Linked DNA regions of Arabidopsis thaliana. The protein of the gene in region 1 interacts with the protein of each later gene in a pairwise test. Each region holds a gene or a part of one and is shown on either strand. Other genes may lie near its edges.

Region 1 (4,214 bases):
CTCACAATAGATTTATTCGACCGACCTGATTTGATTAATCATAAGCTACACGTTAGAACACAAAGTCGCCTCTACTGTTGCTTTTGTACTAATCCTTAAAAAAATCATATAGATTTAATTCACCAAAATTAAGTTAGGAAAGAAGAGGTGGTGGTGTTGAATTTGATTATGTTATCTATTGATAGTATTCATGTGATCAGTAGACGAAAAATTTTCAAAATATTGCCTGTCGACATGGGAAGAATCGAATGACTAAAAAAATAATCGATCATGTTCTTTAATTTCAAATTTAATTATATATCTATATAAATACCCTTAACTTGTTTTTGACGATCCTACCAAGCCAGAGAACTTATAACTGTCATATTCATACCATATGCTATATAATTAGTGGGATATAATACTCTATCTTTAACTTTACGCGTAACAACTTTTTAATTAGGATTTAGGAATAAGAACCTTTCTTTTGTTTGTTAAAAAATTCTTTCTCTTTCTCTCTCAATTTTTTCACTATATAAATTATTAAGTTAGACGCATGTATATGTCTTTTTACTAACACGTAGACCGGTAGACGTCCATGTGCTCCATGCACGTGTGTAAATACATCTTTTTTTGCCATGTGTGAACTAATTTTTTTAATTTGCCAAGCCAAAGTTATAATTAATTAAATAGCAGAAAGAGTCTTAAGAGAAATAATATGATTATAATGGCAGAAGAAAAGTTAAGATTTACAGATACATCCAATAGTGTATAGCCGCTTAATTAATTTATCCACACCTCAACGAAAATTTCCGTTGGTGCGCTAACGAATTCAGGCTGTGAAGTTAAAAGAAAATAAACAAAATTATAGCTTCACATAAGCGATCGATCTTCAAACTCTACACATGACAGAAGCAAATAACTAAATTAAATAGCGTAAATTTTGTAATAATACTAGAAAACCTAAAAACCAAATGTAAAAAACCTTATGGGAAAAAATGTGATAAAGCACCTAAACCATAGAATAACTTAAAATTTCAATTTCCCAATCAAGGTATGATATAAAAACCATGGAAAACAAATTCTCAGCCATATTTCTATCTGACCGAGTCTTTTTCAAAATAATATATAGACGGTAGAGTCTTATATAGTAAAAACATTTTTTTAAAACTAATTTATCTTCTCATATGAAAATGAATGCAAATAAAAATGACCATATATGCTGTAATGATATTCAAGGAAGAGATATCACAACAAGGTCGAAGAAATATACAATATCTGAAAGTCGACTATATGGTCCACTTTCCAAATTAGAGATGGAAAGAAGAAACGATTATGCAGCAAACCCATTGATCGGACGAAGAAAGAATAAATATGGAGGCCCATTACTATAGTATTTGGCCTTGAAATATTTTGGTCCGAGAAATAATAAATAAACAGTTATGGCTTTTCGGATTTGGTTGCTTTCAATTTTCTCAAATGTTTGGACAAGTGTTATTACACTCACCTAAAACAGGATCATTCCAATTTCTTGGGCTCAGAGTCTGTACTTTCTTCTTCTTTAAACCAAGGTCTTATAAGTATTCTCTAAACCAAGTCACTAAACAATAATTGGTCTTGGGTCTGGTTCAAACTTGGATCAATGTTGCCACATAGCCATTAGCCACACAAAACAAAAATTGTCTTGCCTTTATATGGAATGAAGAAAAATCGAATTTTGTAACCATTTTTGACTTTAAAGTCACACTCGCCGTATACGGCACACCAAATGACCAAAAACATTTGACCACCAACTTTGCTTTAATGTTAAAACTTTTTTTTTGCATCCCACTACTCTCTTCTTCACCTCCTCAAGTCACAGTGACCAAAATCACACACTTCACAAGAAACAACCTATGGATCCAAATGAATCTCCACCAAACCAATTTCGCCACGTGGTGGCCATGCCTTATCCAGGTCGAGGACACATCAACCCTATGATGAACCTCTGCAAACGCCTTGTCCGTCGATACCCTAACCTTCACGTCACCTTCGTCGTCACAGAAGAATGGCTCGGGTTTATTGGACCCGACCCGAAACCCGACCGGATCCATTTCTCCACTCTCCCTAATCTCATCCCTTCCGAGCTTGTCAGGGCCAAAGACTTCATAGGCTTCATTGATGCCGTCTACACAAGATTGGAAGAACCATTCGAGAAGCTTCTTGACAGCCTCAATTCACCACCTCCGAGTGTAATATTCGCCGACACTTACGTCATTTGGGCTGTGCGAGTCGGCAGAAAAAGGAATATTCCGGTGGTTTCTCTCTGGACCATGTCAGCCACGATTCTCTCCTTCTTCCTCCACTCTGATCTACTCATAAGTCATGGCCATGCTCTGTTCGAACCATCAGGTAAAGCATCAGTGAATTAGTTTTGATTCTTGAAACTTGGTATATATTGATTCTTGTTGAAACTTAATTAGTATTGATTCTTGAAAAGTTAGTATTGATTCTTGGTTTGTTTTGGAATCTAAAGAAGAAGAGGTTGTTGATTACGTCCCCGGTTTATCTCCGACGAAACTCCGAGATTTGCCGCCGATATTTGACGGTTACAGCGACCGAGTCTTCAAGACAGCTAAGTTGTGTTTCGATGAACTACCAGGAGCTAGGTCTTTACTCTTCACCACCGCCTATGAGCTTGAACACAAAGCTATTGACGCTTTCACCTCCAAGCTCGATATCCCGGTCTACGCTATTGGTCCTTTAATACCTTTTGAAGAACTTTCTGTTCAAAATGATAACAAGGAACCTAATTACATCCAGTGGCTTGAGGAACAACCGGAAGGCTCTGTTCTTTACATATCTCAGGGAAGTTTTCTTTCGGTCTCGGAAGCTCAGATGGAGGAAATAGTGAAAGGACTGAGAGAAAGTGGAGTCCGGTTTCTTTGGGTGGCTCGTGGGGGCGAGTTAAAGCTTAAGGAGGCTCTTGAAGGTAGCTTAGGTGTAGTGGTGAGCTGGTGTGATCAGCTTCGGGTGCTGTGTCACAAAGCTGTAGGCGGGTTTTGGACTCATTGCGGGTTTAACTCGACATTGGAAGGGATATATTCAGGAGTACCAATGCTAGCGTTTCCGTTGTTTTGGGATCAGATTCTGAACGCTAAGATGATTGTTGAGGACTGGAGAGTCGGAATGAGGATCGAGAGGACGAAAAAGAATGAGTTGTTGATAGGGAGAGAGGAGATCAAGGAAGTAGTGAAGAGGTTTATGGATAGAGAGAGTGAAGAAGGGAAAGAGATGAGAAGAAGGGCTTGTGACCTTAGTGAAATCAGTCGAGGAGCTGTTGCGAAAAGCGGTTCGTCTAATGTAAACATCGATGAGTTCGTTCGGCATATTACCAATACAAATTAAGGCTCAAAGAGGTTTTATTGTTTCAATACAATGTAAGGCTCAATGGCATGCTCACTAAATCATATGTATCTTTTGAATGACTAAAAAGTAAAAACCACCACCAAATTATAGCTAAATCAATTTCTTACCATATGTCAAAAATTTATAGAAATTCTAATGGTGGGAAAGCTCCCCGCTTATGCATTATGCATCATCATTTTGCTTGCTTATAATCTAAAATGATGCTTTCTCATTAATCAAACCCCAAGACGTCACAAAATACCCAAAACACATCAAAAATACAAGGAAAAGAAAAAGAGAACAAAATTGAAGCAAAACTTAAAACGGGATTTATTATGAGGCCTATCTCTACAATTCACGAAATGATCATACATCTTATTTTTTTGGTAGGTGAGAATAGACAATTGTCTCTCGCAATTTATTAAACTGCAACTAAAAAGAATATTACAACCGAACATGACCTGAGAACTCTGCCTCTAACATAATCGAGTGGACTACATTAGGAGAAGAGTCCAATGAATGAAATTAAACCTAACAGCACTGAAGAAAACACATTGTTATCAAAAAATTTACAACTATGTAGATTTTTTTTGTCAACTAGATTGTTATTCTGTTAGTTATAAACAGAATGATAACAATCTCCCTAATTTGTCTTAATTAAAAAAAAAAAAAAAATTAGCCATGTGTTGTTTTCTTAAACAGTCTGTTTCTTGGGATTAGGTTTTGTTTCTTTAAAAAGCACACCGGTCACTTGAGTGTCTAAAAACGTTATAAAAAACAACAAATGTGATAATCAGCAAAAACAGCTTGAAAGAGAAGTAGACACAATCATTAACATTATGGGTAAT
Region 2 (7,205 bases), on another chromosome or scaffold:
CCAAAACCGACCTGACCAGCTAGCTGGAGCTTGGAACGAACGTGAACCACCGGGAACGAGCTCGAAGCCGGTGGTGCCTATATCGCCGCTTCCGGAGTTGGACAAAATTCCCGGCCACACGGTGAAGCTGCATCGATTTACGATGGTTATTGTAGCACCATCACTTCCTACCAAATGCAATGCTTTAGCTATATGTTAATATTTACATTTTATATAGAAATATTCATACTGATATGAAAGTATGATAGATATGAATATTACGTACCATGGAAGAAGAGGAAGCTAAGGATGATGAAATAGAATGAGACATGAGAATGAAGGACTGTTATGATCATCACTGTTTATTTTTGTCTCTCTATTAAAAAAAAAAAGTACTTTTGGTGGAGAAATTAAGTTTGGAATATTCACAAAACGAAAGACCAAGAGAGAAAAGAGGAAAAAGAAAGACCAAGAGTAGAGTTTAAAGCACCTCTATATATACGTTGTCTCAAGGGTCAAGCTCAAGATATGTGATGATCTCACAAAAGTATTGACCAATTTCTTTTATGTTTTAAAGTGATACAAGATAAAACAACATCTTGAAAAGCCATGTTATCACGAATATATTGATTAAAGTCTTTTTCCATATAAAATCTATAGCTTTACAGATTATCTGTTTGAAATTTTTGCAAAAGTCATAAGTTTTCGAAAATAAATTTTGTGGAAAATAACACCGAGTAATATATGCATGATAGGTGGCCAAATTAGCTAAAGAGAGTGCATATTATGGTACCATATCTAGATAAACTCGGACAATCTAGATAAACTCGGACAGCAGGACCATTAATCTTGAAAGATAAAAAACTCATACATTGAAAAGAAGAAGTTTAGGTTCCTTGATCTCTAGAATGCAAGTAGTGCGTTTACATAATCCATCAAAAACTGCTTAATTAAACTAATCTTGATATTCGAGTAAAACGATGTTCTGCTTTAAACTAAAGAGGTAAACACAAAGGAGAAACATCAGAAGTGAAATCTACAGTTCGTCCTTGGTGTTCTCTTCTTGTTGCTCAACGGGTTCGGCTTCAATGTTTAGACCACCAGCCAAGTCATCTGATTTCGTCTCAGTTGCCTCACTGGTCTCTGGTTCCTCTGCTGCCTCGATTTCCTCGTCGGCTACTGCATCAGGGCTGATGTTCAGACCGCTCTTGACTGAGTTATAAATACGGGCAGCAAAGTCTTTTGGGTCGGTGAGTATGAATCCACTCTCGATCAAAGCTGTCTGGTACATGAGCTGTGCTGTTTCCTTCACACTCTCATCCTGAGAGAATTTGGTATGTTAGTTTATTTCTCTAATAGACAGTAAGTAAAAAAAAGAATTGATGGGTCTTATGTTTGTTTTACCTCTGGGTCACTTGCAATTCTATCCTTGAGTTCTTTGATGATAGGGTGTCGTGGGTTGATCTCGAGGACTCTCTTTCCGCGCATGTAAGCTTGCTTATTAGCATCCGAGAGAGTTTGGGACTGCATGATCCTCTCCATATTAGCACTCCATCCAAACTTGGATGTTACGACTACACATGGAGTGTCAGCCAAACGGTTGCTGATTTTGACATCGTCTACGTTTTCGCTAGCGAGATTTCCTTTCCACCACTTTGTTAGCTCCTTGAATGCTTCCTTCAGCTCCTTGTCTTTTGAATCTTTCCCAACCTTCAGTCCTTCCTTGGACACATTCTGGAACTTTTTGTCTTCGTAATCCATCAGGTATTGCATCAAGTATTCATCAACTGGGTCTGTGAAGAAGATGACCTGGGAACACAAGTATGAGAACGTGTTATGCGAGTTGGAGATCATTTAAAGAAGAATTATTCGTGTGCAATGCAAACCTCATAGCCCTTCTTGATGAGCCTCTCCAGGAATGGAGATTTCTCTAGCTGTTCCTTGCTGCTTCCTGTGATGTAAAATATGTCCTTTTGGCTCTTTTTCATTCTCTTAATGTACTGATCCAGGGAAGTCAATTTTCCATCGGACTTTGTTCTGAAATAGCAAAATACAAATCTTTAGCCTGCTGGTGCTAATGAATGGACAGACGTGTATTAAAAAAAAAGTAACAGAGCTTACGTCTCAAAACGAAGAAGTTTTGCCAAGCGGTTCCTGTTAGCAGCATCCTCAATGATACCTAGTTTGACAGACTTGCCAAACTCGTTCCAGAATTTTGTGTATTGACCCTTCTTCTCATCGTTCTCACCAGACTTCTCCACATCTGCGTGCCAACAAGTCAATAAGCTTAGACCATGTTTCAGAAAGATGAAGCTACCAAATGGTAAAAAAAAGTGGAACGGTCAAAGTGGATTGATACCAAGAAACTTGTTTTATGGAATACCTTTTTTCTCATCATCATGGATTTCATCAGGATCTTCTTCAGCAAGCTTGCGGATCATATCAAGCGCCTTTCGGATAAGCTTCTTCTTAATTGTCTTTAAGCTGCTGTGTTGTTGAAGCATTTCTCTTGATACATTTAGAGGCAATGTGTCAGAGTCAACAAGACCCTGCAAAAGCAACTCACGTTAGGGATTTAGCCCATAAATTTGTATTGAAAGAACCCCTTAGTTTGTCTTTCAAGTAGTTTACCTTCAAGAAACTCAAATACTTAGGCAGAAGCTCATCAAATTCATCTGAGATGAACACCCTCCTGACATATAGCTTCAAGTTCGCCTTGTTGCTGTTGTAATAGCTCTCGTATAGATCATGGGGAGCTTTCGGAGGAACATACAACACAGCCTTGAATTCAACATCACCTTCAGCATTAAAGTGACTCCAAGCCATTGGCTTCTCGTCGGTAAAATCCTGTATAACAACTGGGGTCAGGGAAATCCACACGAAAATTTTACACCTAGTATGTAACAAGTATGATTTAGTTAACGCATGGTTTTCACCTTTGAGAGAGAGTGGTAGAATTTAGTGTACTCTTCCTCTGTCACCTCCTTTGGACTTCTCAGCCATATAGCCTTAACATCATTCAGAAGCTCCCATTCATAAACTGTTTCTTTCACCTTCTTGGTTTTCTGCTTTTTCTCACCATCTTCCTCCTCAGCATCTTCTTCCTTTTCTTCCTCGGTAGAGGTGGTTTCTGAAGTCAAGTACCATTACCAAAAATCAGGGCTGCCTAAACTGAAGGGAAAAAAGATAACACTGCAGCAGAAAATTATAATATGGTGTTTCATTAATACTCACCAGTTTCCTCATCAGCTGATTCATCTTCCTCAACTGGGACCTCGGTTTCAACCTCTTTGCTAGCCCAGAGGGAGATAGGGAAGTTAATGAATTCAGAATATCTCTTCACCAATTCCTGTAGTAGACAACAATGATCATTAGCAACCATAATGAGAGGATAAACAGAAATATTGAATAAGCAGTGCACTGAATTCATAATAATGCTGAACCACTTCCCCTCAGGAGAGTTTGGGGTTCTCTACAACAAACCCTGGGTTATTCTGGTTCTTTGCATTGCTTAATTTAGGTTTGTAACAAAAGAGAAATTTACTTTCTTATCAAAATATTACCCACCTTAAGTTTACTTTCTTCTAGGTACTCGCCAGCTTCATCCCTAAGATGTAATCTAATCTCGGTTCCACGTCCAAGAGGCTCATTCCATGTATCCTCGGAAACAGCAAATTTACCGTTAGCCTTTGATTCCCATACATACCTGAAAACGGAAAAGAAGTTATCAGAAAAGCTTTTCAATGATTTTACATGCCCACAAGTATATTGCCAAACAAAGCCCTCTAAATCAACTTACTGGCTGTCATCATTGTGCTTGCTAATGACTTCAATGTAGTCAGCAACAAGATAGGCAGAGTAGAATCCAACTCCAAATTGTCCAATAAGGTTCAAATCCCCACTTGATTGCATTTTCTCAACAAAAGCTGCGAAAGGCAAGATCTTAGAAATATGGAATTTATTGATCCATACTATTATGCAGGACAACGTATCACCACATAAGTAACGTACCTGACGTTCCAGATTTTGCTATGGTACCAAGGTTCTTGATTAAGTCTTCCTTAGTCATACCAATTCCCCGGTCTCGAATAGAAAGAATCTTCTTGGCTTTGTCTAGCTTAATCTGCATACCATAGCATAGTTACGGAGGTAAGAAAAAAGCTTACACTAGACACAATTCCAACGAAAGGCTAAATTTACTGAGATCAGCATTTGATAAAACAAATCGATGAAACTCTATTTTCAACACTCTCAAGCATAAAAATCATATTGAGAAACATGTAGCTAACCTGGATCTCAAGCTTAGCAGTGTCACCTTCACCCAAAACGTCTTTGTCAGTGAGTGCAAGGAACCTAATTTTGTCCAAGGCCTGAAAATCACCAACACAGACACTTATTAGTTCCCCTATTTAACGAGGTATCCCAAAAACTCACTAAAACAATGTACACGAAGCTGCTTACATCAGAAGCATTGGAGATCAACTCTCTTAAGAAAATGTCCTTGTTACTGTATAGAGAGTTGATAATAATGTCCATAAGCCGAGAAACCTCAGCTTGGAACTCAAACTTCTCCGCGTTACTGCGAAGCGTCTTCTTTGACATCGACTCAGACTCTCTGTCGATCAAACGAATTCGAATAAGGCAAGATTCAAGCAATCCAAGCGAAAGTTCTACCGTGAAACTAACAGAACACTAACCTATGAACTACATCGGAATCCGTCGATAAACCACCGTGACCACCAATTTTCTCCTCAACTTTTGGTGGATCTGTAACATCATCGGAACTCTCTTCTGCATTCGCGTGTAACTTTCTTCCTATGATAAACACCACAGAAATATCGCCATCATCAGCATATGAATCCTAAGCAACACTTATATCTATCTACTCAAAATCAACACATATATACATCGAAACGTACCTTGATCTGGAAGAAGAAACAGAAGCGAGAAAAGGAACAAAACGGACACGAGCGTCCTCTTCCTCATTGTTAGATCGGAGCCTTGGTTCTCTCAGTCTTTGCTTTCGGGTTACTCAGTGATGATGATGATTCAGCTCGATAGATCCGTATATAATAGGAAATGATTCAGTGATGTGTGAACTGTTTAGTTGCGTACACTTTAGTTTCTCCTGATTGGTTAGCTTCGTCATGATTTGCCAACGTGTCAGATCTAACGGATCGTATTGTGAGATAGCCACGTGGTAGTTTTGTATTGGAGCAAGGTTTTGTTCTTGACGTGGAGCGACGTGGATTTCGGGGTTGTGGCGTGGATGGACGACTTTTAAATTATCAAAGTATGCTAAATCAACGGTGATATTCGTTTACGTCCTAATTGGGACGATCGGACGGCTATATTTAGTTGTTTTACATGTGACAAATAACTATTGGATATTAGGATGCTATGCTTTTATTGATGTCGGATACAAAAGTAAAATGATGTTTTTCTTTGTACAACGATGATTATGCTTGCCAAGGTTATTACGTTTGGCTGGCTTTAATCGGTTGATGGCTAAAGTCTCGCCTAAAGGCGATACAATTTGTCAATTTGGGAAGATCATAGTCATCACTCATCCGTAGTAGCAATATGTATGCGCGGTTCAAAAATGGTAATGTCTATTTGGTCCCATTATTTATTGAAAGATACAACACGTGAGAGACTTCCTTCCTCACCAGAGACCTCCTTCGCTGCTTTCTTCCATGAACAGTTGTTCAGAAATGAGAGCATAACATATCGACGAATGGAACGAAAATGGACGCAACAGATTAATCAAACCACTAGAACCTTTTCTGTATCTTAAAACTATATATTTATTTATGGAGAAAAACCCAACAAGGTTAAAAAGAAGCTTGACATATACCAATGTTTGAACTAATCCTCCTATATGTTATGAAATAAAATAAAAAACCTGAAAAATGGGAAAACTGAGGAAATAAAAAAAAAAGAAGGAAAAGTTCAGCAAGACACTTTATAAGTTACCTCAAAACACTTGTCATCATCCTTTGACCAATCAATCAATTCATCAACCTATTCAAGAACCCATCTCCACCACTTTGTAGATCACTCACCTCCATGGAGGAAACTCCCAACGTGGCTCCGGCTCTTTTCGCTTTCCACCAATGCTGATAGAAGAACTCGATGAGGGCTCTACATTTGCTCCTGAATGCTCTCCCATAGCCCCGCTTTGTGAAGGTGATAGAAACTGCCTCAAATTTAGCGACTCTCTGTTTCCTATCTCAAGTCCAAACCCAGAGTTCTGATCAAAGTTTGGCCGCATTGATCCATTCGTACTAGGCGATCCACCCGCCAAGCTCATGAACATGTGTTGTTGAGGGAATGGTGGCTGCACATACGGCGCTGATCCGATTATTTGCGGCATCATCACTGGGGTACCTCTTGAATCCACCATGTATGGAATAGCAGTTCCAGGAACATACATGGGTGATGACATTGACAAACCAGGAGGACCAGTCAATCCGTTGTAGCCATACATAGGGGCTGGAGAAAAGGAGACACCAGGGGCTAGACCCAAAGAGTTTCCCGTTCTTCCCATGTGTAAACCTGTTGCAGGCTCGAGGGACTTGCCATTGGACAAGAACGAAGCCATCTGAGGTACAGAGTCTTTTCTGTCAGCTTCCACTTTTGTACCCAAGATAGATATACCTGGTTCTTCCAATTTGTGCCCCCCATAGGAGGCTGTACTCCATGGGTGCCGCCCATAGTAGGGACCCTGATCACGTGAATCAATGAAAAACTGTGGCCTGTCATTCAAATCAAAGTTTACTTCCTTGCCTGATTGTTGAGCAACTGACGATGAGGAGACAGGTGATGCGCTTTGCTGACCATTGTGACTTAAAAACAATCTTGTTTCCATCTTCGACTCAGAAGGTGGAGGCATCTCATCGTCCTCGTTCATACAATTCAAATCCAAGTTGAACTTGCTTGATCCTCGCAGACTGGCTTCATGTGAAGACTCTCCACCCCTAGAGTTTGATGAGGAGAAAGGAAACTGTTTCCAAGGAGTAAGATCTTCAACTTGATCATCTCCTACCTCAGCCACGTTCAGATCGATACCACGAGAAATCACCTGCTTTTCTCTTAAATCCCCACTAGGAACTTTATGAGGTAATGCTGAGTGAAATACACTCGTAGCAGCTGATCCTTTCCCGCTAAGAGATCTTTCCAAATGCCACGGTGCTGCTGCAGGCATTGCAGAAGATGAGACAGAA

The links.
Region 2: the proteins of UGT87A2 (region 1) and SHD interact in a two-hybrid assay, tested with the Arabidopsis thaliana proteins (one study listed by BioGRID).

What each region holds. Positions count from the first base shown.
Region 1 is NC_003071.7:12,870,326-12,874,539, forward strand, and holds UGT87A2 (UDP-Glycosyltransferase superfamily protein), read left to right. Parts: upstream 1-1,658; 5' UTR 1,659-1,874; coding exon 1,875-2,370; intron 2,371-2,494; coding exon 2,495-3,366; 3' UTR 3,367-3,541; downstream 3,542-4,214.
Region 2 is NC_003075.7:12,550,887-12,558,091, forward strand, and holds SHD (Chaperone protein htpG family protein), read right to left. Parts: upstream 5,173-7,205; 5' UTR 4,966-5,172; coding exon 4,899-4,965; coding exon of another isoform or gene 4,895-4,898; intron 4,795-4,894; coding exon 4,677-4,794; intron 4,595-4,676; coding exon 4,441-4,594; intron 4,350-4,440; coding exon 4,269-4,349; intron 4,103-4,268; coding exon 3,991-4,102; intron 3,906-3,990; coding exon 3,779-3,905; intron 3,686-3,778; coding exon 3,547-3,685; intron 3,329-3,546; coding exon 3,214-3,328; intron 3,110-3,213; coding exon 2,916-3,109; intron 2,827-2,915; coding exon 2,611-2,826; intron 2,529-2,610; coding exon 2,363-2,528; intron 2,243-2,362; coding exon 2,101-2,242; intron 2,017-2,100; coding exon 1,866-2,016; intron 1,789-1,865; coding exon 1,384-1,788; intron 1,301-1,383; coding exon 1,016-1,300; 3' UTR 666-1,015; downstream 1-665. Other genes in the region: TLP1 (THAUMATIN-LIKE PROTEIN 1), read right to left, coding at 1-182, 266-335; AT4G24200 (Transcription elongation factor (TFIIS) family protein), read right to left, coding at 6,041-7,205. UniProt on the Arabidopsis thaliana protein: May have a molecular chaperone role in the processing of secreted materials. Required for shoot apical meristem (SAM), root apical meristem (RAM) and floral meristem (FM) formation, probably by regulating the folding of CLAVATA proteins (CLVs).